Linked DNA regions of Caenorhabditis elegans. The protein of the gene in region 2 purifies or fractionates together with the protein of the main gene of each other region. This does not show direct contact. Each region holds a gene or a part of one and is shown on either strand. Other genes may lie near its edges.

The links.
Region 1: the proteins of shl-1 (region 2) and ncs-4 purify together in Caenorhabditis elegans (affinity purification with western blotting; one study listed by BioGRID). This does not show direct contact.
Region 3: the proteins of shl-1 (region 2) and ncs-5 purify together in Caenorhabditis elegans (affinity purification with western blotting, with the first as the bait; one study listed by BioGRID). This does not show direct contact.

Annotation. Positions count from the first base shown.
Region 1 is NC_003284.9:10,173,881-10,181,154, reverse strand, and holds ncs-4 (EF-hand domain-containing protein), read right to left. Parts: upstream 4,635-7,274; 5' UTR 3,919-4,634; coding exon 3,855-3,918; intron 3,808-3,854; coding exon 3,731-3,807; intron 1,975-3,730; exon of another isoform or gene 1,878-1,974; coding exon of another isoform or gene 1,770-1,877; intron 1,664-1,769; coding exon 1,573-1,663; intron 1,525-1,572; coding exon 1,412-1,524; intron 1,360-1,411; coding exon 1,212-1,359; intron 1,165-1,211; coding exon 1,100-1,164; intron 696-1,099; coding exon 579-695; 3' UTR 501-578; downstream 1-500. Other genes in the region: C07A4.3 (SCP domain-containing protein), read right to left, coding at 5,373-5,598, 5,645-5,758, 5,800-6,032, 6,074-6,124; C07A4.2 (SCP domain-containing protein), read right to left, coding at 7,129-7,274.
Region 2 is NC_003282.8:6,376,830-6,386,703, reverse strand, and holds shl-1 (BTB domain-containing protein), read left to right. Parts: upstream 1-2,633; 5' UTR 2,634-2,721; coding exon 2,722-2,823; intron 2,824-3,386; coding exon 3,387-3,614; intron 3,615-4,452; coding exon 4,453-4,901; intron 4,902-4,918; exon of another isoform or gene 4,919-4,939; intron 4,940-5,309; exon of another isoform or gene 5,310-5,330; intron 5,331-5,469; coding exon 5,470-5,578; intron 5,579-5,684; coding exon 5,685-5,900; intron 5,901-6,167; coding exon 6,168-6,344; intron 6,345-6,432; coding exon 6,433-6,535; intron 6,536-6,800; exon of another isoform or gene 6,801-6,821; intron 6,822-6,936; coding exon 6,937-7,129; intron 7,130-7,736; coding exon 7,737-7,818; intron 7,819-7,867; coding exon 7,868-7,945; 3' UTR 7,946-8,419; downstream 8,420-9,874. Other genes in the region: bli-6 (Nematode cuticle collagen N-terminal domain-containing protein), read right to left, coding at 8,596-9,408, 9,517-9,597.
Region 3 is NC_003283.11:18,823,716-18,831,922, reverse strand, and holds ncs-5 (EF-hand domain-containing protein), read right to left. Parts: upstream 5,182-8,207; 5' UTR 5,077-5,181; coding exon 4,975-5,076; intron 4,048-4,974; exon of another isoform or gene 3,977-4,047; intron 3,223-3,976; coding exon 2,962-3,222; intron 2,876-2,961; exon of another isoform or gene 2,805-2,875; intron 2,179-2,804; coding exon 2,035-2,178; intron 1,769-2,034; coding exon 1,609-1,768; intron 1,514-1,608; coding exon 1,395-1,513; intron 716-1,394; coding exon 635-715; 3' UTR 501-634; downstream 1-500.

The DNA.
Region 1 (7,274 bases), on a different chromosome or scaffold from region 2:
AAATACTCATCAAACTTGTTGTATGTGAGTATTGCATATGCGCCAACAAACCTCCTCATCCCTACACGCCCACAACGGAAAACAGTTTGGACTTTTTTGTTTTGAAAAATCGTATCTCATCACACACGCCCTGATGTTTGTATTTTATTTTGATGAACTGCAACAATAATAACTGTGTCGACTCAATAAATCGTTTTTGTATACCACAGTTTATTATTTTATTTATTTTCAGCCATAATACATAATTTTAAAAAGATGGTAAAGCGGAGCGTCTCATTTTTTAGCAGGAACATTTTTAGCATGTTTCCATTAGTGATATATGTATAAGTCTACGGTGGACTTATTTGCAAAAGGCTTTTTCCCCACAGTTCACCAATCGCAAACCACCTGTTGATAACTGGAGCCTGGTTTGAAAAAAAGGTAATTATTATAGTTTTACGGGATTGATAAGCACGTTTCATTTTACTATTCATTTTATAAAAATATATAACTAAAAACGATATATCAATTTATTCAATAAATACAAATACAACCCATAATGTGAAATTGTTTTTAAACCATAAAAATGTTTAGATTGTTCAACCAGGAAGAAGAGTGTAAAGTGCCGAAATTGAGTTTAAAATTGTTCGGTCAGTTTTACAAATATGTAAGAAATCCTTTTTTGTTATTCGTCCTTTTTTTCCAACATCGAACTTCTGGAAATTTCAAAACTATTTGACATTTATTAAGACAATTGTTGCTGAGAGTAAACAGTTCTGAGATTTCTTAACAAGATATTCCGAGTATCAGATTCTGAAGTAGGCTAAATTATGTGTGCATAACGGATGTGGGTCAGTATGTATTCGAAATAGTGAAAATATTTTAACTCTCATAGTTTTTTTTGTTATTTATTGTTATTTAAAAAATAGTGTAGCCTCCATTAAAAATTTTCAATACCAACAAACTTCATAAAACATTATGTTTAACGAGATCAGTTTATTGCATTGCCCTCTTGGTGCACAATTCAAAAGCTTTATCACCGTTCGCTATTATTTATTAATAATTAATAACCTTTGTTCAGTGCTACCTCAGTAAGGTCATAGCTGTATGAATCACTCACCGCAAACACTTGATTTGTAAGCTCACATTTCTGCTCTCTTGTGTGATGTGGTCTGGCGTGCTTACCTAAAATGACGATTTTTACAAATCAGGGATGTTTTTAGTTCACCAACCCATTAAATCATCCATAGATGTGATCACATAGAATAATCGGTCCCAAGTAACTTCTCCTTTTTCTTTCGGATCATACAACTTGTATAGCCAGTCTAACTTTTCGTCCAACGTGCCACGACAGAGAATTGAGAGAGCTTTCACAAACTCCTGGGAAAAACTTCACACTTGTCAAAGTGTAATGTAATGAGAACACTCTCACCTGGAAATTGATTGTTCCATTCCCATCATTGTCAAACGTTTCAAAAAGGAGATCAGAATAATGTTCAATATCACCATGAGGAAACAATTCCGCAAATTTTTCTCTCATAATATCTGAAAATATATATTTTCCGATGACTTATTGTGACAAATGTGTTTTACTTTTGTTGATGACAGCGTTTGGTGATGTTTCTTTGAAGGCTCTGTATATTGCTCTGACTTCATTTTTTGAGAAATGAGTTTCATCCACTACCTGAAAACAGAAAAGTAGGAAATATATTTTTTAAATTAAAAAAAAATATATATATTTCATTAACTATAAATATCGAACATTTGTAGAATCACAGATACAATTATACCTTGTTCAAAGACACATTTGGGTGAAGACCCCCGGAAAGTTGCACTGATTTTCGAGTTCCAAACCGATGGTATATCTTTTTACTATGAATATTAGAGTTTTCAGGCATAGAAGGTAGTTTCAAAAGCAAAGAATCGTGAAATGGATAGAGAAATCAGCCGGAGGAGCTGACTTTTTTCTTCGCTTTCGGCACACACCGACTTTACAACATCCTCACTCGCTTGGCCAACACAGAGTTTGGTTGACAAGATGATATTAATGAGATAACTGAAGACCATCTATCAACATGTGTAAGCATATTATCAAAACACCTCTTTTTTTCAACAGTACCTCCCAGAACATTTTTTCAGTCTGATAGTGAGCCTAAGAAATTGAGCTGCATACTTCTTACTAAAAATTAATACTGACGTCAAAAGTTTTATGGGATTCAGAAAGTTAAAAATGAAAAATAAAAATAGTAGCTTTGCTGAGACGACCCACTCATACAGAAGTATGCTTTGCAACAAATATGACCAAGAAAACTATGAAGTAGAACAAAACACACTTCTTGAAAAAACATCAAAAGGTTGCAACGACAAGAAGAGTATTGAAGATGAAAAATTCAAAAAACAACTTTTTTATTCGGTTTCTGGATGGATTGATCAATAAAAATGTTCCAACTGAGTTAAACATTTGAGCAATTTTTTAGAACTGTAAATTCAAAACATTTTCCAGCAAGTGTGATCCGGAAACTATCTGAATTTTTTAACATTTTGAGGTTTTCGGATATCATCTCAACGAAAGACAAGATTTTAAACTCGAGTTATTCACGACAAAAACTGTTTTGAATAGAACGACGACTTGATTTTTTAAGATAATTTTACTTTTTTATGCAAAACAAAAGCGAATACAGTAAAAATAGCTTATATGCATGAGCGGAAAACTACTTTTAATTAAAGTAAAATTGTGATAACCCGAACAAATTCTAGAATCGAAAATTAATATTGGAATACTGAAAAATTACACATTCTACAGGTAGACAAAAACAGCCGTAGATTCGCTTAAAAGCAGATGGGAAACTTTTTGTTCCCACGTGGAAAATTTCTAGCAAGATACTAGCAATTTGCGGAAGTACGAAAGAAACAAAAAACAACTTGACCAGCAAGGTATAATTTTGTTTTTCAATAAGTCAATCAAATTATTTTTCAAGTTTCTTTCTGGAATTCGAATGGAATTCAATATATTAACAATTCCGTTTAGGTCACGGAACACAAATCTGTGTCCAGTTATTGAAAATGATCGAGTTTTCAATATTTTGTAGCCATGTCACCAAAATTGGAACCGTTTTTTTATTTGAACTAATGATATAATTAACATAATACAGATGAATTGAATAAGAGTATAAAAAACAAAAGGAGATAATCGCAGAGGTTCTTAATAAAATTGAGCTCTGGATAAAAATACATACATTTTAGAATCATAAAACTTTTTATCTTTAGCTGTTTTTCATAAGTTTCTTACAACAAAATTCTTCATGTCCCTCTACCAAAATTTTCGTCGTTTAACTTGAATTACTTTACATCTTCTACTAATTAATCCCCCGTTCATTGAACTTTAGATCCCTTAACAACTTGGTATTTTACCAACTTGATGATACATTTCCGGCCTTGTTTCCTACATTCCTACCTCCAAAACCGCGACGGTCGGTCTCCTTAATACACGCACACACGTCAATCTTATTGACAAAACGAAGAGTTGGCAAGAACAGAGTTCAATATTATCTTCTTCAAACTCCCTTTATCTTTAACTATATCTTCAACTTAACTAATCGCACTGACCGTATTTGACCATATACTCAAATAACTACAAGGAAATAAAGTACATATATGTTAACACTACATTTCGTTGTTATCATTACAAATTGGCGATATCTCGTATTGCAAGTTTCTTCCCTTTGCGCAACATATCTCAAAGTACAAGTACCTGCTGTAGACTGGATGGTCGAAAAACATGCTGATGAATCGGCGAAAGGAGGGGAACATCAATTTTGTAATCGAATCCTTAACTTTTGAAGATTATTGTTTTGCTTTATGATGGGAGTTCTCACCTATCACTGGTTCCTCTCCGGGCGCTGGAAAAGATATTGCAGAACGTCGTTTCCAGCTGCTCATCTAGTAACTGCTATTTGTACAATTTTTAAGGAAGTTATACGGTAAGTGTTTCAAACGGCAAAAAAGTATTTATTCAACCATGATTCAAATTAAAAAACACACCCTGAATATGCTTCAGTCAAAAAAAATTGTCATAGTTTAATGACGTGAAGCCCTTTAAAATCCACGATTGAGTACGAATAGGAAAAGATGCATTAAATTTTTTATCTCCTGCAGAGAATACTTTACATTAAAGTTTAAAAAAAATTTCAAAATATATATTCAAAATTTTAAATTCAAAAGGTTAAGGCTGTTGCAGTTTTTCATGAAAATGTTTGACTTTCTTCTTCAATTTTTTTTTTGCAGGACTGGTAATTTGAGGCTCTCTAGTCAAGTGACTCAAGAAGCTCGAATTAGTAGTGAAAAGAGGCAAGACCAAATTGACCGAAAAAAGAACTAGAAGGAAAGCCATTAAACTCGAGAATTTGAATTCCGCGATCGAAATAAATGGGGAAATCAAAGTGCTGCCAACAGTTACCGCCAAGTCGATCAAATTGACACAACGGGGCCTGGGAAATCAGCGGCGGTTGGAAACGGGGCATCGAGGAAGAGAGGTGTCCTGTCTTTTCCCCTTTCCGACGGGTTTTTTGTCATGCAAGAAGAATGACTTTTGAGTGACATTGCCGTTGGAGACGCAGTGTTATTGGTGAGAGCACGAAAAAGTTGTATTGCAAGTCCAGTGCCATCGCACGCAAAAATGACTCGAGGCACATTGGATAAGAGATGATTTCGGTTGATGGTCGGGAGGACAGACAGAGCGGCGACAAAAGAATCCTGCTATCAACACATGTTTCTTCCTGTTTCTTTTTTTTTTCATTTTTTCCGTCTTCGTTTTCATTTGGATTCATCCGCTCGTATCATCTCATAAAACCTATCCGCAAAGAAAAACAAAGTTGTCTAGACTAGCTTCATGTTTGAAACAGATACATTTGAAATATCAATCAACGTTGAGCTAAGTTATTCTGTAATGATGCTTCTACTAATGTTGTGTAGCCAGTTGTTACTAACTTTGCATTTTAAAAAGTGCTGTAAAAATTAATACACCATTAGTACGTCTGTAGTTTCCGGCTCATCAAATTTAAAAAAAACTTTGAATTCTCATACAAATCTAATTTTGTCGATTGGAATGTTTTCAGTATGATACTAAATCACATTGTTCTATTCGTTTATACATTTTGATCTTGATCGACTCAGAAATTGATAATGATGCACACAGTTTTAAACCTTTAGCATTCATATTTAAACTATATTACAAGAGTAATTCGCTCGACTGTAAACTTTTCATTGATAGCATTGTACCTTCGGAAAATTTGAATTGTATTATCAAATTATCAATATGATGATACTTGAATGTGTAGGAATTAATTTTATTTTAATATCTATTTAAATCCCAAAAATGTATTCGCTACAGTTCTTTACATAATTAAGCACCCGCATCCACTTGTACTTTTTGGAGCTCTGACGTTATCCATGTAAGCCTCAGAAGTTTGCATATTACCAGGTGGGTCGTATTTGATACAAACGTAGACATGATACATTGTTCCCCGCTTTGCAACTGAAACTCCAACTCCAATTTTGCGCGAATTCTTCCAGAGCAGTTGAGTGAAGTGCCCGACTTTCGACCAAGATCCAGGGTTAAAGCTTGAGAAAAAAAGTTAAATTTAGGCATTCATTACATCGAGATTACCGAGTGTAATTAAATCCATAGCCTTCTGTATAAAATCCGTGTATGAGTGCAGCTGCACAAGTTTTTGGAGATGGGAATTTTGAAGACGCAAACGATGTTAGATTTTCACCGTATCTGTAAAACTGAATCAGATGTGAAAAATGGTATCAACTCACTTTGAAGGTTGCTCGTGAACTAAACATTTCTTGTGAAAGGCCATTTCATCCGACCATTTCTGGGCAAGATTGGTAAGATTCGAATCTACAGTAACTGCTGGAGAGCTATGATGAGCTCTATACTTATTATGAAAGTGTACAATCCATTTTTTAAGATCTTTGATACTATATTCTGCTGGATCCAATTTGTCTTCTAATGACTTGTTTTGCATATAGACCATAACATCGCTTGGCTGAACATAGCTGCTTAATTTTTTAATTTTCGAAAACGTACATTTGTTAGCTTGGTTAGTTCTGGATCTACGCCGGAGATTGAAACAAACATCTTGAAAACGTTAGTCGCTGAGCGTTGTTGACTCTGAGAACGGTCTGAAAAAATATATGGGAATTCAATAAGCAAATATCACGAGATGATATAAAGCAAATGGAAAACGGCACAAAATCAAAAATGATGTTTAACAGGAAGCGGGAAACTTGTGATCGCGTAGGAGAACATCTGAAAAAGGTTTGACGCGGTGTTTTATTTGATCGATCAACCCATAAAGATCCGAAACAGTTCTGGAAAATATGTTCAGCTGGCTGTGCAAACAGGAACACTGCTTTTTGTACTTTTCCAGGAGAATGACTCATTGAAATATGCGAAATTGGGGAAAAAGGCACTTCAAGACTATGATGCATGGAAGACTGCCAACGGTTTTCAACATTACGAATGTTTTTGGTGAAGCGTGGATGTATACAAACAAACACAAAAGGAATCTTCGCTGATTTTGAGATGGAGTTTGTAGAAAATGTTCGGGAGAATTTGTTATTTTTCTGATTGTGGTTAAACATTCTTGAATCTAAATGATATTGGACTAATATAAATTAAACGAAAAGAATAAATGAAATAAGTTAAAATAGTAGTGAAATGTTGCTCCAAACAAACTTTATTGTGAGGTACAATTATGTGCAAGCTTTGGTTGATCAAAGTACATTTCACACTTACGGGCATGTAGTATTGGAACAGCCGAATTGTAATTTTCAGATTTTTGCGCGCTAACGTGGACGCATTTTGTATGAAAATTTTGATTAAATATTGAACTGCTACTTGTTGAAATAAAATATTTTTCCGTAGGAGAACTGTCTTGGTCCTATTGTTTTTATAAGTCTTTTTGAATGCTGTGAAAAGTGTTTGTATAGTTTCAAATTCTTAGCAAAACAATCATTTCATGAATACAGAACAAGAGATCAATTGGTAAGTGAAATATACAATAATCGGCGATATGACTCTATTAACATATACATCACGTCGTTGGGAAGTGCAGCAGTGAAACAAATTCAGCAATTCAATTATGCAACAGGTCGTTCGACATTATTCAAATATGCCTTGTGAGATTCGAAATTTCCAGCCGGATCATATTTGACGACAACATAGATAAAGTACATATTTGGAGAAGAGCTGACACATGGGGAGCGAATTGAACTGGATTTGACTA
Region 2 (9,874 bases):
TTTTACTTTTTATTAGCTTTTTCAATTGTTTTCTTACGTTGTCAGAGTGATTGTTTGCACTTCTGCAAAATATGCCTATTTAATTTACTGTTTCTTGAGAAATGTATACAGTCATTATTTCTAGCGATACTCACAATTTTATTGCATTTCCTTGTCTAGCTTCTAGTTTTAATAAATTGATTGCATAAATATTGGATATACATAAAAAGTAAATAATACAAAATCTGACGACTTGACACAATAAGACTTCGTGAAACAGTTAAAATTTGATAAATTCTAAGGAACCCCTATGATAGATAAACAACATCATGTTTTATATGCGTTTTGATACACTCAAAATGCTAAAACTGCTGGGTGCCCTAATTTTTCAGGCCTAAATTTTGAAATCTGTGCAAACACGCCACACAGTTTCATCATATTGAGTGTATGTTCCTAGAAAACTTTCAATGAGTTTATTGATTCCGGAAAATGAGAATTGCCCAAGCAAAATCTACCCCGCAAACACAAAACAAATTATTTTAAAAATTCGGAAGACTAGGCGATAGGCAGGCAGGCTCGCCTAGCCCAAATTTTACTACATAAAGTACGCCTCCGCATTTCAAATGTGGAAATCGTAACAGTTAATAGCACTATTAACGTATTTTAAGAGATTACCGTTTCACAACCATTTGAAATGATTCTACAAAACTCGTTACATACTGCATTAGTGTTTAAAACAGTGAGAACTACAGTTAGAAACAATGTATCCACAAGTGACAGTCCACTTTCAAAATATTAACGTTTCACAACTATTATGAATAGTTTTTTAAAATAGTTTTTTAATCGGTACGTATTATAGTTATTTTGATCAACTAGTTCATTCTTGATTATTCTTTCCTCTTTTTTTAAATCCAATTTAACCGAAAAAAGCACAAAAAAAATGAGGAGAGCCAGTCAACTACTGCCAAAGCAAGCATTTTTAAAGTCTAAATTAAAATTTCAACAAATCAAGTAAACAAGAAAAATTGGGTTAGGCACGCAAAATTATCCACGGGACTATCAAACACCATGCTTCACCCAAATATGTAGAAATTAGGCGTTAGGCAGGTAGGCAATGGTGTTCTTTCCTAACATGAAGTTTAATTTGACTAATTGAAGTACACATAATCAACCTTCAAAAAACTTTTCAAAAAGTTCAAAAATTTTCAAAAACAATTAAAAACCCTCCAAAACGTGATTTCAGATGAACTTCAACTTGTACTTTTTCTAAACAATTCTTCAACTTTTCCGTAACGTGCCTTTTCTTTTTTCAGCTTATTTTGCTTATTCTTTTCTTCTCTCTTTATCCAATTCAACCGAAATAAGCACAAAAAATCGAGGAAAGCAAGTCATCTCCTCTCAGGCAAAAATTGAATATCGAGTTTCATTTTCTCTCTCTCTCTCTTTCTTTTTCTTTTTTTTCTAGTCTGAAGATGTCTTCAGAAGAGGTCGACTTTTCCAATTTTGTCTATCGTTTTCTCTTTCTTTTCCTGGCATCAAGGAGCCCGCGAGCCTTTAGAGAAGAGGGCTCTTTACACACAAAATTGGATAAAATTGAAAAAGAAGAGGAAAAGTGTGAAACTGGAAATGTAACACTTCTTCCTTCCCTCCAGTTCTTTTCTCTCCTTTTCTTTCCTTCACATTTTCTTTTGTCCCACGGCTTCTTGCTTCTCGAACCGATCTCGACGTCGTCTCGCGTCGTTTACGGGTAATTTGAGCCCACACGTCGTCACCCGTTTGGAGCTCTGCGCCAAGGAAACCATCAAAATTGGAGTGGGAAAGAACCTTATGTTTTTGCAAAACGACAAAAAGTTTAAAGTTGGCTGCTGTTTCTAAAAACGTTTTTTTTTGAAACAAGTGCACTTTTGCAGTTTTTTGTGACGTGCAAGCCTTCTAGACTTCACTTTTGGCTTGAGACCACTATTCAGCTATATAGGTTATGTATTCTGAGAAAAAAACATAGTTTTTTTTGTTGTTAGGTCAGAGTTACCGTAGTTGATGTATTGCAAATGTTTGCTTAAAACAAATTATTGATTTGAAAATCTTGATTTTGAAATTGAAAATTTTCCTGTGATTTTTAAGTGAAACCGTAAGTTATATATTTTTTGGCATAGCAAACTAAAATTTCCGTTTCACAGTCATTTGAAATGATTCTACAAATTTCAACATATACTACATATGGCTCCATACTTTAAAATTCGTAATTTCTAAAAATATTTCTGAATTATCTTGAACTCGAAAACTTAGTCATCAGCCCTTTGTGTCTCCAATTTCTTTCCAGAATGTAACATTTCTGAAACCCCGGTTTTCCAATGTACCCGCATATCTCACGTCGACCGACCTACCTATGCGCCTGTATTTTTATGATATGTTATTATCCCAAAACACATACAGACTTACCCTTTTTTATTTCGATTAATTTATTTCAAACTTCAAACGAAAGCTCGATTATTTAATTTTCAAGCAACTGCTGTTGTAGACCACTTGAAATATAAGTTTTCAAAAAAATCAAACTTTCAAATTCTTCAATATATTTCCAATTCCCATAAATGATTTCTTTTCTTTTCATTAATTCGCTTCAACTTTCAAAATTATTTTCATAACTCCTGCTTTACAGCGTACCCAGCAAAATAGAAAAAATTTTCCTGAAAACGACGTCATCAGGAAAAGTGTTCAGAATCCGTCGTCGTTGTCTTCTTCAGAATGGCTTCGGTGGCGGCGTGGCTGCCGTTCGCGAGAGCCGCCGCTATCGGATGGGTTCCCATTTCGAGACAGCCCATGCCACAGGCCCCAGTTGCAATACAGGTTAGGTTTGGTGGGAATAATTTTCTAAATTTAAATATAAAGTAGTCCAAATTTGATCTGAAAAAATTGCGCCAAATATTTATTTCCCGATGTTTTTTTACACTGTGATATTTCTAAAAATTTTTGTGTGACGCCACACATCTTCATTTTTAATGAGAGACACTTAGGCAGCATTCTGTGTTTCTATTCGGTCATTTATAGACACTATAAAACAGTGGAAATTTCCACGTTCTCACAATTAGGAATTCTTGTTCGCGGAAAAGGTTCAAACATCAAAAAATACGGAATTCTTTCATAAATTCTTGTTCACACACGTGTTAGGTGGTCGATGTCTTTTGAAAATTTGGAAATTTGATACGAGTGTCATATGCAATGAGAGATTAGATCCTCTTTTTAGTTCCAGGATCCGTAGTGAGAGGGAAACTAAATATACATTTTGAACTTTGGATATGCAAAATTTTTACTGTTTCATTTATTTGGCAGATTCCTCTTTTTCATGAACTAATTTTTTGTGTTGCCTGTAGATCTCTATATGTTCACAAGCTCTCAATGTGATATTTCAGGCCAAAGACCTCGCGGTTGATCATGTCTCTGACGAAAAACTAGCAATCAACATATCAGGACGAAGGTTCGAAACGTGGAAGAACACGTTGGAAAAGTTCCCAGAGACTCTATTGGGGTCAAATGAAAAAGAGTTCTTTTATGATGAAGACACTGGGGAATACTTTTTCGATAGGGATCCGGACATATTCCGACACATTCTCACATTTTATAGAACGGGAAAATTGCATGTGAGTTGTTTGTTTTTGTTGTTTGAGCCAGTTTGAGACAAAAAATTGCAAGCATTAAAAATTAATGTTTTTTGAAACAGTTTTTTTAAAAATAAACTCTCTTCAACTTTCTAAACTTCCGCTGAAAATGTTCTTAAAATGTAGAATCATGCTTTGACATTTTTTCTATAAAAAATCAAATTTTAACCCATTCACATAGGCGCTAATGTCCCCGTCTACCAACAAAGCAGCATAGACCTGTCTCGAGCCTACAGACAAACCGCAGGCGGGCAGCAGGCAGGCGTTAAAATTAAAAATATCTGCCTACAAACTTACGCATTTGTTTTGCAATTTTTTTTTGGAAATATACAGAATTCAATTGATTGTAAAATAGATGCAATTTTTATTCAGAAAAATATTAAATCTTTTGAGCAATGCTTTTTGAGAATTTGGAGCATCGCCGGAGAATATTTTAAATTAATTATGCCTAATGGTGCTTAAATGGCCTAATAATGTAGTAAATCCTTTATAAATTCAATTTTTTTTAAAATTTTATTCAAAAGTGACGATTCCTCATTTTTTATTTATTTTAATAATGCGTTAATAAGTTTTACTCAAACACTGTATGAGTATGAACTTGTAAGACTGCTAGATATTTCTCAAAGGAAACGGAGTAATATTTTTCGAAAATAAATTTTAATTTCAAAATAAATTTTATTTTGTATTATAATTTTCAATATTATTTTTTAATAAAAAAAATCTTTGAAAAATTTAAGATTTTCGTTTGAGTATGTGGTGACTTGTTGAAATCTATTAAAATGCGCCACTTTCCATTTTTCCCAGAAATCCATATTTTCAGTATCCCCGTCATGAATGTCTTGTTGCATACGACGAAGAGCTCAGTTTCTTTGGAATAATGCCTGATTTGATATCAGATTGTTGCTATGAAGACTATAAAGATAAAAAACGAGAAAATCAAGAAAGATTACAAGAAGAACGTGTAGAAAATGCGGATATATCAACATTAAAATTGTCTCTTAAAGAGAAAATGTGGGCGGCATTCGAGAATCCGCACACAACATCAATAGCACTTGTATTTTATTATGTCATTGGATTTTTTATTGCTGTATCAGTGATGTGTAATATAGTGGAAACAATACCTTGTGGGTATGAGGATAATGTGTCTGTGACGTGTGGAGAAGCCTATGAAGAGCAATTCTTTGTTATCGATACAGCGTGTGTTATCATTTTTACGATTGAGTACTTTTTACGGTTGATTTCTGCGCCGGACCGAATCAAATTTATGAGGTACGTTTCTTTTAATATCAATATGTAAACTTCTCACACTAATAAGTTAAATATTCACTGATTTTATCAAACTCATTTGAAACAGCAATAAAATTTTGAATTTTCTAATTATCCAATTTTGACGCTTTTTGATTACCTATCGGCTTTAGAGACAATTTAATCAACCAATTATTTAATACAAAAATAAATTAGCAAAACGCAATTAGGAATAATAATCAAATAAAAACGAATTACCCAATGCTATGGGAAAGTTCGCGAAATTCAAGATTTGAGCTAAAATAATCGTAATTCTTTTCAAAATCTTGTGCCGCCAAAAAAAAATTGGAAAATTTTTTGAGAAGTCTCATTACAAAATTCAACCATTTCAGTATGACCCTCTAGCCCGTCTTTAATGCATTTTTATGATTTCAAAAGTTTTGTTCAAAATTATCAGTTCAAAAATATAGAGATGTTTCTCATAACAATCATGAAACTGTAAAATAATTAAGGACACATTTGTCAAAATTGGATAACATGTTATTTATTCGTCCTTATTTTTTTAACCATTTAAATGGTTTTCTTTTTTCAGGTCAATAATGAGTGTAATCGATGTGATTGCCATAATGCCTTACTACGTTAGTTTGGTACTAACTGACAATAAGGATGTATCCGGCTTGTTTGTCACTTTAAGAGTTTTCGTAAGTTTTTTCTTTTGTTAATCCTTAAATTGAATATCCAAATATTTTTTCGAACATTCTGATAAAAATCATTAATTCTTTGATCAAATCCTTCTAAAATTTACAGCGTGTCTTCCGAATATTCAAATTCTCACGACATTCCCAAGGTCTTCGAATTCTGGGTTACACTCTTAAATCGTGTGCAAGTGAACTTGGATTCCTTGTATTTTCACTGGCAATGGCAATTATCATATTTGCCACTATTATGTATTATGCGGAGAAAAAGGTCGACGCGACGAGATTTACCTCGATTCCGTCAGCTTTCTGGTATACAATTGTGACTGTGAGTTTTTCTTTGTAAAATTAAGAAACGGGGTTGAAATTTTGATTTTTACGTTAAATACTCTCCATAAAACCTTCAACGTTTTGCAAATACCTTATCCCAAATGCACTAGGAAAATGTAAATTTTAAAGTTAATATTTGCATTGGAAAAATTAAAAATTAAAATATTTTTTTTTTAATTATACAAATCACTGAAGACTAAAGGTGAAACCTATTCATACAACACAGTCATTGTTTTTCATAATAAAAAATTAATTTTTCTTTCAGCTAACAACTCTTGGATACGGAGACATGGTTCCATCAACAATAATGGGTAAAATAGTTGGAGGAGTATGCTCACTGTCTGGAGTGTTGGTTATTGCTCTTCCAGTTCCAGTTATTGTCAGCAATTTCTCTCGAATTTATCATCAAAATCAGAGAGCTGACAAGAGAAAAGCACAGAAGGTATGGTTTTTCGTTCAGTTGTAAAACCTTTTTAAACACTTAGTGATTTTTTTGCAAATTTGTTGGATTAAATTTAATCAATTTTCAGAAAGCCCGTCTTGCTAGAATTCGGATCGTTAAAAACGCGTCTGGACTAGCATTATTCAATAAGAAGAGAGCTCATGAAGCTCGGATGCTAGCATTTGAACAGGGTAAGTTGGTTTTTTTTTTCATTAGAACATTTCGTATTGCCGGCTTAAGTTAGTTATTATTGAGTTGTCACAAAAATATTTAACTTTGGAAATATAGAAAAGTATTCCATTTTGTTTTTCGGTCTCTTGGCATTTCTGTTGGCTCAAAAAAAGCAAATATAAAACATTAAAATTAAAAATTAATAAAAACAGTTCGTGATTCCGCTTGCTCAAGAGGGCACAAATTTTGAATCCGGTATAAAAAACAGATTCTGTGGTTTTTTTTTATTCCGTTTTTTTATATTTAATGTTTTAGGTTTTCGGTTACTTAATTTATTAGCAATGTGAAACATTAAAAAAAAATTATGTGTACAAAATTCTAGATTATAATTGAGATAACTCTAAAAAGTGCATTTTTGCAGGTCATCTCTCTTTCGATGCTCTCCGAGACGAAGATATCTTCGAAATCCAACATCATCATCTTCTTCAGTGTCTAGAAAAAGCGACGGAACGTGAATTTGTTGAATCAGAAGTGATGTTTGAAGGTGGAAGAAATACTCCTCCGCCCAGTGAAACAGCTTCATTGAAAGGAAAAACAAAGCGTAAAAGGCGATTGTGAGTTTTTGATTTTCAATCCTTTGAAGATTTATTAGTCTCTGGATTTCAGGGTAAAAAAATAAGAAAAAATTTTATACTATTCATCAATAAAATAAATTATCATCAAAAAAATTCACTGATGCTTTCTTTTCGTTAATGCATTTAAAATGGAAAATAATCATGAATGAAAATGAAAACTGTAGAAAATATTGTTGCGTTTTAAAATCCAAAATTCAAAAATATGCCTCTGCAACCCTGGCTAAGATGTCTGCTTGAATTCCCACCAAACATAGAACAAGGATATTAGGCAGCGTTGAAATACCATGTTTTCAAAAATTGTAGTTTCAATTATTTCTTGAATTTTTTTGAGTTTCTTCTTTGTCAGCAATATTTTGAGTATTTTAAATTAGAACCCCATTCGAAAAGTGAGTGTACCACGAAATGGTCTCGTTGGTGCAACTTTAGAGGGAATTCAAATAGCAAAATTGACAAAAGTGGAAAAACCTTAAATTCTTGATGTTGGATTTACTTCTTATTTTTGTCATTTTTCCTTGGTGATATTTTTGATTTTTGGATCACAATTTTGAGTTAAAACAACAAATCTCCTGAAATTTATTTTTTTTAGATGCTGTGTTTCAAAAGAAAATGAAGAAATGGAAGAGTTGGATCGAGAGACTCGTGTAACATTCAATCAGAATATGGATCAGGTATAAACTAACACCAGTTATTTGTTGAAAATTATATTATTAATTTCAGATTTGTGAATTACCAAAACCTGATGAAATGGAACTCAATCATCGAAATAATGACAAAATTTGCGTATCGCAACTGTAATCTACTTCTTTATTTTATTTTTTTAAAATGATTTCTAAAAATCATTTTCTATAGAAAATTTCTCTCATTGCTCTACCGGTTCCGTCTTTCTAGAAGCTAGTTGTTCTTTTACAAAAGTTTTCTGAAATCATCCCTCCCAACTATTCGGTTTCCCCAATCTCTCATCAACGATGCAATTTTGTTTTTTTCTGTAATTTTTACTTTTTCAAGTTAGAAACAAATATATTTCCATTGAACCCGTTTCCCGAAAAACTTCATATCGCTCTTTTTCTTTTTCAGTTCGAGGTGACTTTTCTCTAAATTTTCCCCGCTACTAGGAGCCTCTCCGATGATCTGCCCATTGGTGGCAGATGTCTTTCATTTTTTTTTTGATTTTTCAGATGGAAATATAAAATTGAAGTAAAATTAACTTTTTATGTGCAGTTTTTTTTTTTTCAATTTTCCAGGTCTGTCGATAAAGTTTTATTTATTTTCTAATTTTAGAAAACCACAAAGGGAATTACTTTTTTTTAACTTAGTGAGCTGGTTCATTTGTATCAGCTCATTGCTGAAAAAATGTAACTGTACAACATTCCGCTTCATTCCAATTGCATTTTAAACTACAAAAAACTTTATAAACAGATACATAAAATAATGCAATTATCAACAGTTTATCGTCGGGTTCCGTCCTCAAAGAAGATTCCTCCATCGATAGCACAATACTTTGGACAGATTCCCTTCTCTCCAACACTTCCTGCTTGTCCGGCTTGTCCAGCTGGTCCTGGATTTCCATCAGATCCTGGTTGTCCTGGTTGTCCAGATGGCCCCTTTGGTCCTGGTTGACCTGGTTGACCATTTTGTCCTGGAGTTCCTGGTTGTCCAGGTGGTCCTTGTGGTCCAGCCTCTCCTGGTGCACCTGGTTCTCCTGGAACAAGTGGCTCAGATGGAGCATCTTGACCTGGGTTCCCATCTTGCCCTGGTGCTCCTGGTTGTCCATTGACTCCTGGTGGTCCCTTTGGTCCTGGTTGACCTGGTTGTCCATCTTGTCCTGGACCTCCTGGCTGTCCATCAAGTCCAGCATCTCCAGCTGGTCCTGGTGGTCCTTGAACTCCTGGTGGTCCTTGTGGACACGGTTTGCATGGTGGTGGGGTAATTGGGTCACATGGAGCTTGTGGTGGACGTCCTGGATTTCCAGGAAGTCCAGCTACTCCAGGCTTTCCTGGACGACCTGGCTTTCCTGGGGTACCGACGGGTCCAGCTGGACCTGGAAGACAGCATCCAGAGCAGGATCCTCCAGCGGCCCCAGCAGATCCAGCGGCACCAGAATCTCCGTAAGAAGCTTGACGGGCGGTACGGTTGGAACGGATCGAGGAGACCTCGTTGAGAATGTCTTTAGCAGAACCCTTACAGTACCGGATCTCGTGATGAATACCCTTCTTCACGTGCGAGACGTAGTTGTAGACCATCGGAAGTGTGATACATACCTACAAAAAAGTTCATAAATGGGTTTTTGGACACAGTTTAATTTTTAATTCACTTCCAAATTATCAAAGAAATCATAATATTAGTCTTGTTTCTACGTTTTTACTCACCGAAAGTACTGCAACAACACTGAATGTAACAGCAGCATAGGCCACAAAGCGATACGCTTTAACACGAGTCTCCACCTCCATTTCTGAAGCCGACAAATTGTGGCTTTGCCCGTTTCTCTTATATATTGTTCAGTTTTTCAACGGTTTTCTCAACATCCGATACGGCTATGCTAGTTTTGAGATTCTAACCGATGCGCTGTGAACGAAAAACATCACAAAAAATGGAAGGATAAGAGGTTTTTCCAATTTTTCAAAAGACAATCTTATCAGTTTACATATAATTTGTGATCTTTTCCGTTTCTTTACATCAACAATTGTGGTTTAGCATGTAAATTCCGAGTGAATGCAATCATTAATT
Region 3 (8,207 bases), on a different chromosome or scaffold from region 2:
AAGTGTCCAACTGGTGCAGTGGGATTTTCGCTGGCTTCCAATCACAAGACCGGGGTTGGAGTCCCCACTGTGGCACAAATTTCTCTATTTTTTTTGAAGTATTTCAAACACGCTGAATCTAAATTTCCACATTGCAAAGCTCAAAAATTGATTTGAAAAGTTGAAAACTCGGTTTTAAAATTAAAATTTAAAAAGTCTATTTATTTTTTTTCGAATACTGATTTTTTCATCACAAATTGAAAAACTTGCACGCTTTGTATATATCTATAAAAAAAATGCAAAAAATGATCTGTGGGCATTTTTTGACAAAAGTGTCCAAATGGCGCAGTGGGATTTTCGCCGACATCCAGTCACAAGACCGGAGTTCGAGTCCTCACTGTGGCAAAAATGTTTCCTAACTTTTTTTTGGGGTATTTAAAACACACAGAATCCAAATTTCAACATTACAAAGCTCAGAAATTGATTTGTCAAGTCGAAAATTCGGTTTTAAAATTAAATTTTTTAAAATATACCAATTTTTATTTAATTTTGAAAAATCTTAATTTTGGCATGGAAAAAAAACCACACAAATAAAGTTGAACATGAGATCTACAGATAAAGGAATGTTATATCAAGGGTTAAATCACTTTTTCGATTAAAGAGGCTTGGCACAGTTGGCAAATCCATTCGGAGCTGGGGAGACCGGAGTGAAGCCGATGCTTGAATCGTTGTTTTTCTGAAACAAAAATGAGTTGAAAATTTGAAATCCTTGTAAAATTTCCGTTAATTTGACACCCATATCGACTGGGTTTCGCAAAATTTGTATTTCGGGCTTCTTGAAACGGCCTGAAACGGCCTGAAAAGGCTACAATACAAATTTTGTGAAAACAAGGCATTGTGAATGTTATACTAACACCGTAACGCGTCAAATTTGTGTTCGTACCGATAAAGTCATGAAAATCTAAAATGTTGGGCCTATTTCGGCCTGAAATGGCCTGAAAAGCCTGAAACTCCAACACTCTTGATTTATGTGTTAACACAGATAGAAATAAACCAAAACTAAACATAAATTTAACTCATGGAACTGTTTGCCGAGCAACTAATGATTTTGGCCTAAAAAAAAGCCTATTTAGGTCTAAAACGGCCCAAACACCTAAAAATTTTGAAAATGGGCAATTTTTGTGAAAACAAATTGAAATTTTGTTAAAATTTAAATTTTCAAACAAATTAACACCCAAAATGGTAGAAACTTCACATTTTGGCCTATTTCGGCCCAATCCGGCCCAAAACGGCCAGACTTTAAAAATGTTTGAAACCTAGTCAATATGGGTTTCAAATTAACGGAATTTTTGCGTAGAATCCGAATTTTTTGACAAAAATTCACGAAAATCAGCCAAAATTCGAAATTCACCCACCTGAAAGAACCGGATCATATCGTCATAGGTCACTAATCCATCCCTATCACAATCCAGTTCGGCGAATATTTTTGTGGCTCTTTGCTGGACGGACTCCTTATTGATTTCTTCACCTCCGCCTAAAAAAATGTTCAAAAAAATTTGGAAAAAAAAATTTGAGAATTTTTTTTTATTCAAAAAATTTTTTTTGTTCAAAAATTGTAAAAATTCTTACTTTTTCCTTCATTCAACTGGAATACTGACTGGGTAAAGTCCAAAAAAGCTGAATATCCAAAACAATCGCCTTCTCCACCCCCAGTTATCAATCTCATTGTCCATTTGGCATTAGTCTCGGCGGTCTGAGGCTGTACATGGGAAAGGCTGTCTAGAAGGTTCTGAAACACTTAACATTTATCAAAATTCACTTAAAATACTTAAAAATTTGATGAAAAGCGCTAAAAATCAATTTTGGAGCATTTTTGAAAGAAGTGTCCGAATGGCTCAGTGGGATTTTCACCGGTTTCTAATCACAAGACCGGGGTTCGAGTCCGCACTGTGGCAAAAATTTTTATTTTGTTTTTTTCACGGTAATTCAATGACGCTGAATTCAAATTTCACAGTTTCAAATAAAAAAAATTTGATTTTCCTATAGAAAACTTACCTCAAAAGTGATAGTCTTCTTGTCGACCCCGGCGAACGCCGTAAAAAGCCTTGAAATATACTGATCCGTGGCTTTTTCCGGTGCAATTATTGAGGCGAGCAGGTTTCGGAATTCTTCTTCTTTCATTTTACCGGTAGGTGATTCCTGAAAAAAACAATTTTTTCAAAATGGCACAGTGGGATTTTCACCGTCTACCAATCACAAGACCTGGGCTCGAGTCCGCACTGTGGCAAAAATTTTTATTTTCTTGTTTTGGGGTAACTTCTGGGTTCCGAATTCAAAAAGTTAAGTTTCAGCGTAGAAAAAATCTCAGAAATGGTCGAAAATTGGGTTCAAAATTTTAAACTGGAAAAAAGTTTGAAATTAGCTCTAAAGTTGGAATTTAGAGTCACTAAAATTTGAAACAGTGCCTAAAAACGTATTTTCTACCAATTCCAATAAATTTCAGGATTTTTCGAAAAAAAGTGTCCAAGTGGCGCAGTGGGATTTTCACCGACTACCAATCTGAACACCCGGGTTCGAGTCCGCACTGTGGCTTAAATTTTTTTATTTTTTGTTATTGGGCTAATTCGGCTGTGCTGAATTCAAAAAAAAAAAGTTTCAGCGCAGAAAAGTTTCAGAAACGGTTGAAAATTGTTCAAAATTTTAAACTGGAAAAAAGTTAGAAATGAGTGCTACACTTTGAATTTAAAGCCACAAAATTTCAAAAAACTGCAAAGAAAACGTATTTTCTGTGTATTTCCATAAATTTCAGCGTTTTTCAAAATTTTGCCAAAATGGCGCAGTGGGATTTTTGCCGACTACCAATCACAAGTCCTGGGTTCGAGTCCCCGCTGTGGCTTAAAATTTTTTTTTTGTTTTCCTGTTCTAGAGTAATTTTACTATGCTGAGTTCAAATTTCCATATTCCAAACCTCGAAAACCTCACATTTTTGAATTTCGCATACATATACTTTATCCATTTCGGACTGAACTGTGTCCTCTGCGTCAACTGCTCCAACGACGGTGGTTGAACTCCGATCTCCCATTTGTCCACCACCTCGTCTAGATCCATATCTTCATTTTTGTAGAAAATCTTGAATTGCAGCGCCCGTATCGACCAGTACAGGCGGTGGAAGAGGGTGTCGAATATGGAGTTGGTGAATAGTTTTGGTGGCTCTGAGTAGGCGTTGTGCACGGCTCGGTCGAACTGAAAATTACAGAGTTATAGTGAAAAAATTTAAAAAAAAAGCAAGATTGAATCAAAATCCGGAAAAAAACCTTTTTTTTTACAAAGAAAAAAAGTTTGGTGAAAATTTTCAAAAACCTTTTTTTTTTGGATTTTTGGAGAAATAGAATAGTTTCAAAAAACTAAAAATTGCCCCTAAGCTATACGGATATAGATAAAAATCAATAAAATTGGAAATTTGAGCATTTTTAACGGTTTTGTCCAAATGGCGCAGTGGGATTTTCGTCGTCTACCAATCACAAGACCAGGGTTCGAGTCCCCGCAGTGGCGCGAATTTTTTGTTTTGATTGTACTATGGTATTTTGAATGTGGAGAGCTCGAATTTTTAAATTTTAAAGCCTAAAAAATGGTACTTTTCCGATTTCTGCCCCCCAAAATGTTTTTCAATTTTTTAATTTAATTTAATTCACACGTGAATGTTTATTTCAATAGTATTTTAATTTTTTGGCTTAGAAAACAACAATACTAAGCCTGAAATTACAAAAAAGTTCACGTTTCAATAATGCAATTTTCGAAAACATTTTGGGGGGCAGAAATCGGAAAAGTACCTAAAAAATTTTTGAACAAGCTGAACATTTTAGATTTAAAGTTCAATTTTAAATATATTAAAAAATATCTTCAAAATGTGATTTCTGAGTGTAAATTTTCTAAAATTTTAACTTTGAACGTGTTTCATCATTAATTGTGGTAATTTTCCAAATTTTTTCAAAATTTTGCCAAAATGGCGCAGTGGGATTTTCACCGACTACCAATCACAAGACCAGGGTTCGAGTCCCCGTTGTGGCAAAAAATTTTTGTTTTGATTTTTTGGTGGTTTTTCATAGCGTACGATTTGAATTTTTAGGTCTCCAGATTGAAATCGTGAGAAAAATCGTGAAAAATCGTAAAAATTTTATTTCAATTTTTTTTTTTCGTTTTTCTTCGTTTTTCTATATTTAATATTCACTAACCATTTTTAATTTTTTTCCCGACAAGCCTAAAAATCAGAAAACTTATACTAAGAAAATAAAACAAATGAAAAAAAAGTTATGGCGAAAGCTAGAAAATTGGAAAGCAGGTGGAAATTTTTAGAGGAAATCAATACGGAAAACTCTGGATTTTCTGATGAAACCAGGTGAAAATAAGGGCTAAATTAGAATTTTAACAAGATTTTATTATTTTTGAGCATTTTTGAAAATTTTGCGCAAGTGGCGCAGTGGGATTTTCGCCGACTACCAATCATGAGACTGAGGTTCGAGTCCGCGCTGTGGCAAAATTTTTTTAAAAGATTTTTTTTGGTTTTTGGGGAAACTCAAGGGTGTTAAACTCAATTTTCTATGCTTGATATTCCAAAAATATCTGGAACAACTTGTTTTAAAATTGATGTTCTCAAAAAATGGAAAATTAGTATTAAAACTGGATTTTTTAGGAAAAAATTGAAAATTTTGACCCAAGATTTTTCATAATTTTCTATGAATTTTCGACAAATTTCAAAATTTTGCGCGAGTGGCGCAGTGGGATTTTCGCCGACTACCAATCATGAGACCGGGGTTCGAGTCCGCGCTGTGGTCGAAATTTTTTTTTCAGTTTTTTTTTTGGTTCTTGGGGTAATTCAAGGGTGCTGAACTCAAATTTCAATGTTTTAGGTTTCAAAAATATTTGGAACAACTTGATAATTTAGTTTAAAATTCGTAAAAAAATTCGATTTTTTTTTTTCAAATATTTTAAACTTACTATAATCTGATAGAGACTTTGCTCATATTGGTCCTGTAACATAGTAGATTTACGACCTGGCCTGTCGCCACGTCTCGAGTCAATTGATGAGGCTCCGCCCATTTTTTTAACTTTTCATTTTTCACAAAAAAATAATTTCAAAAAAAAATTTTCCAAAAATTTTTTTTCGGGTTTATCTTGTTTTTATGTTGGAATATAGCTGATAGGTGATAGTGGTAATAGACAAGTGATGATATCAGTGATAAATGAGGGTTGAGAGATGAGAACTGGTGGCACTGGTGGCACCCCCTCCCTGCTGACACGACAAGTGATAGTGGTCGAGCAATTGAGAGATATCAGATGGTGATAAGAGGGGAAATGATGAAAAAAGAGAGATAAACACATATATAATGTTGTTTTTGTGTTTTTTTTTAATCTCGAAAAAAAAAAATTTTTTTTTTTGAAAAAAAAGTTGAAATTTTTTCGAATTTTCCCGATTTTTTACAAATTTTTAAGGTTTAAAATTGTGAAATTCAAGATGAGAACCTGTAAATTACACATAAAAAACAAAGTGAAACGGAAAAAAAATTGGGCCACAGCGGGGAGTCGAACCCCGGTCTTGTGATCGGTGGTCGGCGAAAATCCCACTGCGCCATTTGGAAACTTTTTTTCAATAATGTTGGTCGTGCAAAAATTGAGTAAATTAACGTTTCAAGCATGAAATATAATTATTTATATGGGAAATATGATTTTCAAGCTAATTTTCAGCGTTTCGAAAAAAAACCATTTCCCAAAAAACCAAAAAAACCGAAACTAAATTTACGACTATTTCTAGAAATTTTACAATTCTAAAACTAGTAAATTCAAGCTCTACACAACTAATATGCTCTCACAAAACTAGAAAAAAAATTGTGCCACAACGGGGACTCGAACCCCGGTCTTGTGATTGGTAGCCGGCGAAAATCCCACTGCGCCATTTGGACAAAATTGTCGAAAATGGCGGAAAATGGCTGCTTTTATCAAAAATTTATCTTCTTAAAGTTTTTGTGCAAATCTTGGAAAGAAGTTTCATAATATAGAAAAAAAATTTCAAAAATTTTTTTTTCAATGTTTTTAGTACGAAAGCCCAAACAAATTTTGCCGAAAAAAGAAAACATCACTCACTAGACACAAAAATTTGAGAAAAAAGAACGAATAAATGCCAAACGCATATCCTTTTCGTGTCTTTTGGAATGGGAAAAAGAGATATTGAATAGAAGAAAAAATAACTGGAAAGATATAAATGGAATTGTCTTCTTTTTTTGGTTAGAATGCTCGTTTGGGTATGAAATTACAAAAATTCAAGTTTAAATTCTATTGATAATAGGAAAAATTTTGGAAAAAAATTTTTTTGAAGATACAAAAAAAACTAAAATTTTATTCTAAAAACTGAAAATTAACGTGACAAAATACAAAAATTCAAGTTCCCCACCCTTAAATTGTCCTTAACCTTTTCGAAAATTACAAAAAAAAAATTTTGCCACAGCGGGGACTCGAACCCCGGTCTTGTGATTGTAAGGCGGCGAAAATCCCACTGCGCCATTTCGGCAAAATTTTCAAAAATAGTGAAAAATGCTAAAAAGTGGGATAATTGACAAGTAAACACATTTTCAGCGTAAATTTTCTGTTTAAATGAAAAAAAAACCAGTTCTACAACCAATTTGAAATTTGAAGTATTGGGAGACGCTTTTCGACAAGTTCTCAAACTTTTTGCGGTCTGAAACCTCGAAATTCGAGTTAATTATCTTTGAATTACTCGAAAAATCCACAAGAAAAAATTTTGACCACAGCGGGGACTCGAACCCTGGTCTTGTGATTGGAGCCGGCAAAAATCCCACTGCGCCATTCAAACGAAAATTTCAAAAAAGGTGGAAAGTGATGATAATAATAAGAAAAATAGGTTTTCAATCCATATTTCACAAATTAATTCTAAAAATCTAATAATTTAAATAAAATTTTCACAATTTTCGGATAAAAATTTCGAATCCAAAATTTCGACCTTTCTAAAAGTTTTGCACCTTTAAAACCAAAAAAATGCAGGTTTTAAAGTCGAAAAAACCGTAAAACTGCTCAAAATCACAAGGAAAAAAATTTTTGCCACCGTGCGGACTTGAACCCCGGTCTTGTGATTGGGAGTCGCCGAAAATCCCACTGCGCCATTTGGGCAAAAGTTACAAAAACACTAAAAAATGTAAAAATTTGCAGGAAAATCATAAAATTTATGTTGTCACTCGGGTTTAAAGACGAAATGAAACAAAACGTTGTGAAATTTGATAGGACCCTTTTTTTTCGGAAATCAGAGCCCCCGAGGAAAGAGGGGGACTCTGATTTACGATTGAGCATTGAACAGGAGGTGGAATATCTGTTAGGCTTTGTTATGAAACTAGAAAATTGAAAATGAATTGAGAAAATTTAGGAAATTTGGGAAAATTTTTTTCAAAAAATTCGAAAAAAAATGTTTTTTTCAAAAATTTGGCCTAAAATTATTTTTTTTTTCCCAACATTTTTTGTTTCAACTTGGGTTATTTTAGTTTAAAATCAACGTTTTCCCACATTTTTCACACCAAAAAATCGAAAAAAAGCAGCGAAAATAGAGAAAAAAAGCGAAGAAGAAGTTCTCATCTTCTATCTCATTTCAGCGTCATTAATTATTCGACTTTTGTGGTGTTGTGGTGGTGGTGTGTAGCATTGGTTATTAGTTGTATCTCTAAAAGTCTGTGGAACAAGAAAAAAATTATACATACTACACTCTTTTTGGAAGTTTTTAGGCCAAAGATGACTGACTTTGCCGATATGCTATATTAAATAGTATATTTTTTGCATTTTTAAAACTCAAAATATATAAAAATTACGAAATCTACCTTAAATATTACATTTCTTTCGAATTCAGTCAATTTCCGCCATTTTCGACAATTTGTCTGAATGGCGCAGTGGGATTTTCGGCGCCCTCCAATCACACAACCGGGGTTCGAGTCCCCGCTGTGGCAAAATTTTTTGTTTTATTGTTCTTAAGGCAAACCGACTGGGCTGAGTTGAAAATTTTAGGTTTTGAAGCTTAATAAGTTCCAGAAAATACGAAAATTTAGTTTTTAGAAAAATGTGGAAAAAACAATAGTTTTCTTACTTAAAAATTTTTCACTATTTCAAATTTTTTTGCTATACTGACAACAAAACTAAGCTTATCATGCTAAAAATACCGCCCAAGTTGGAAAAAA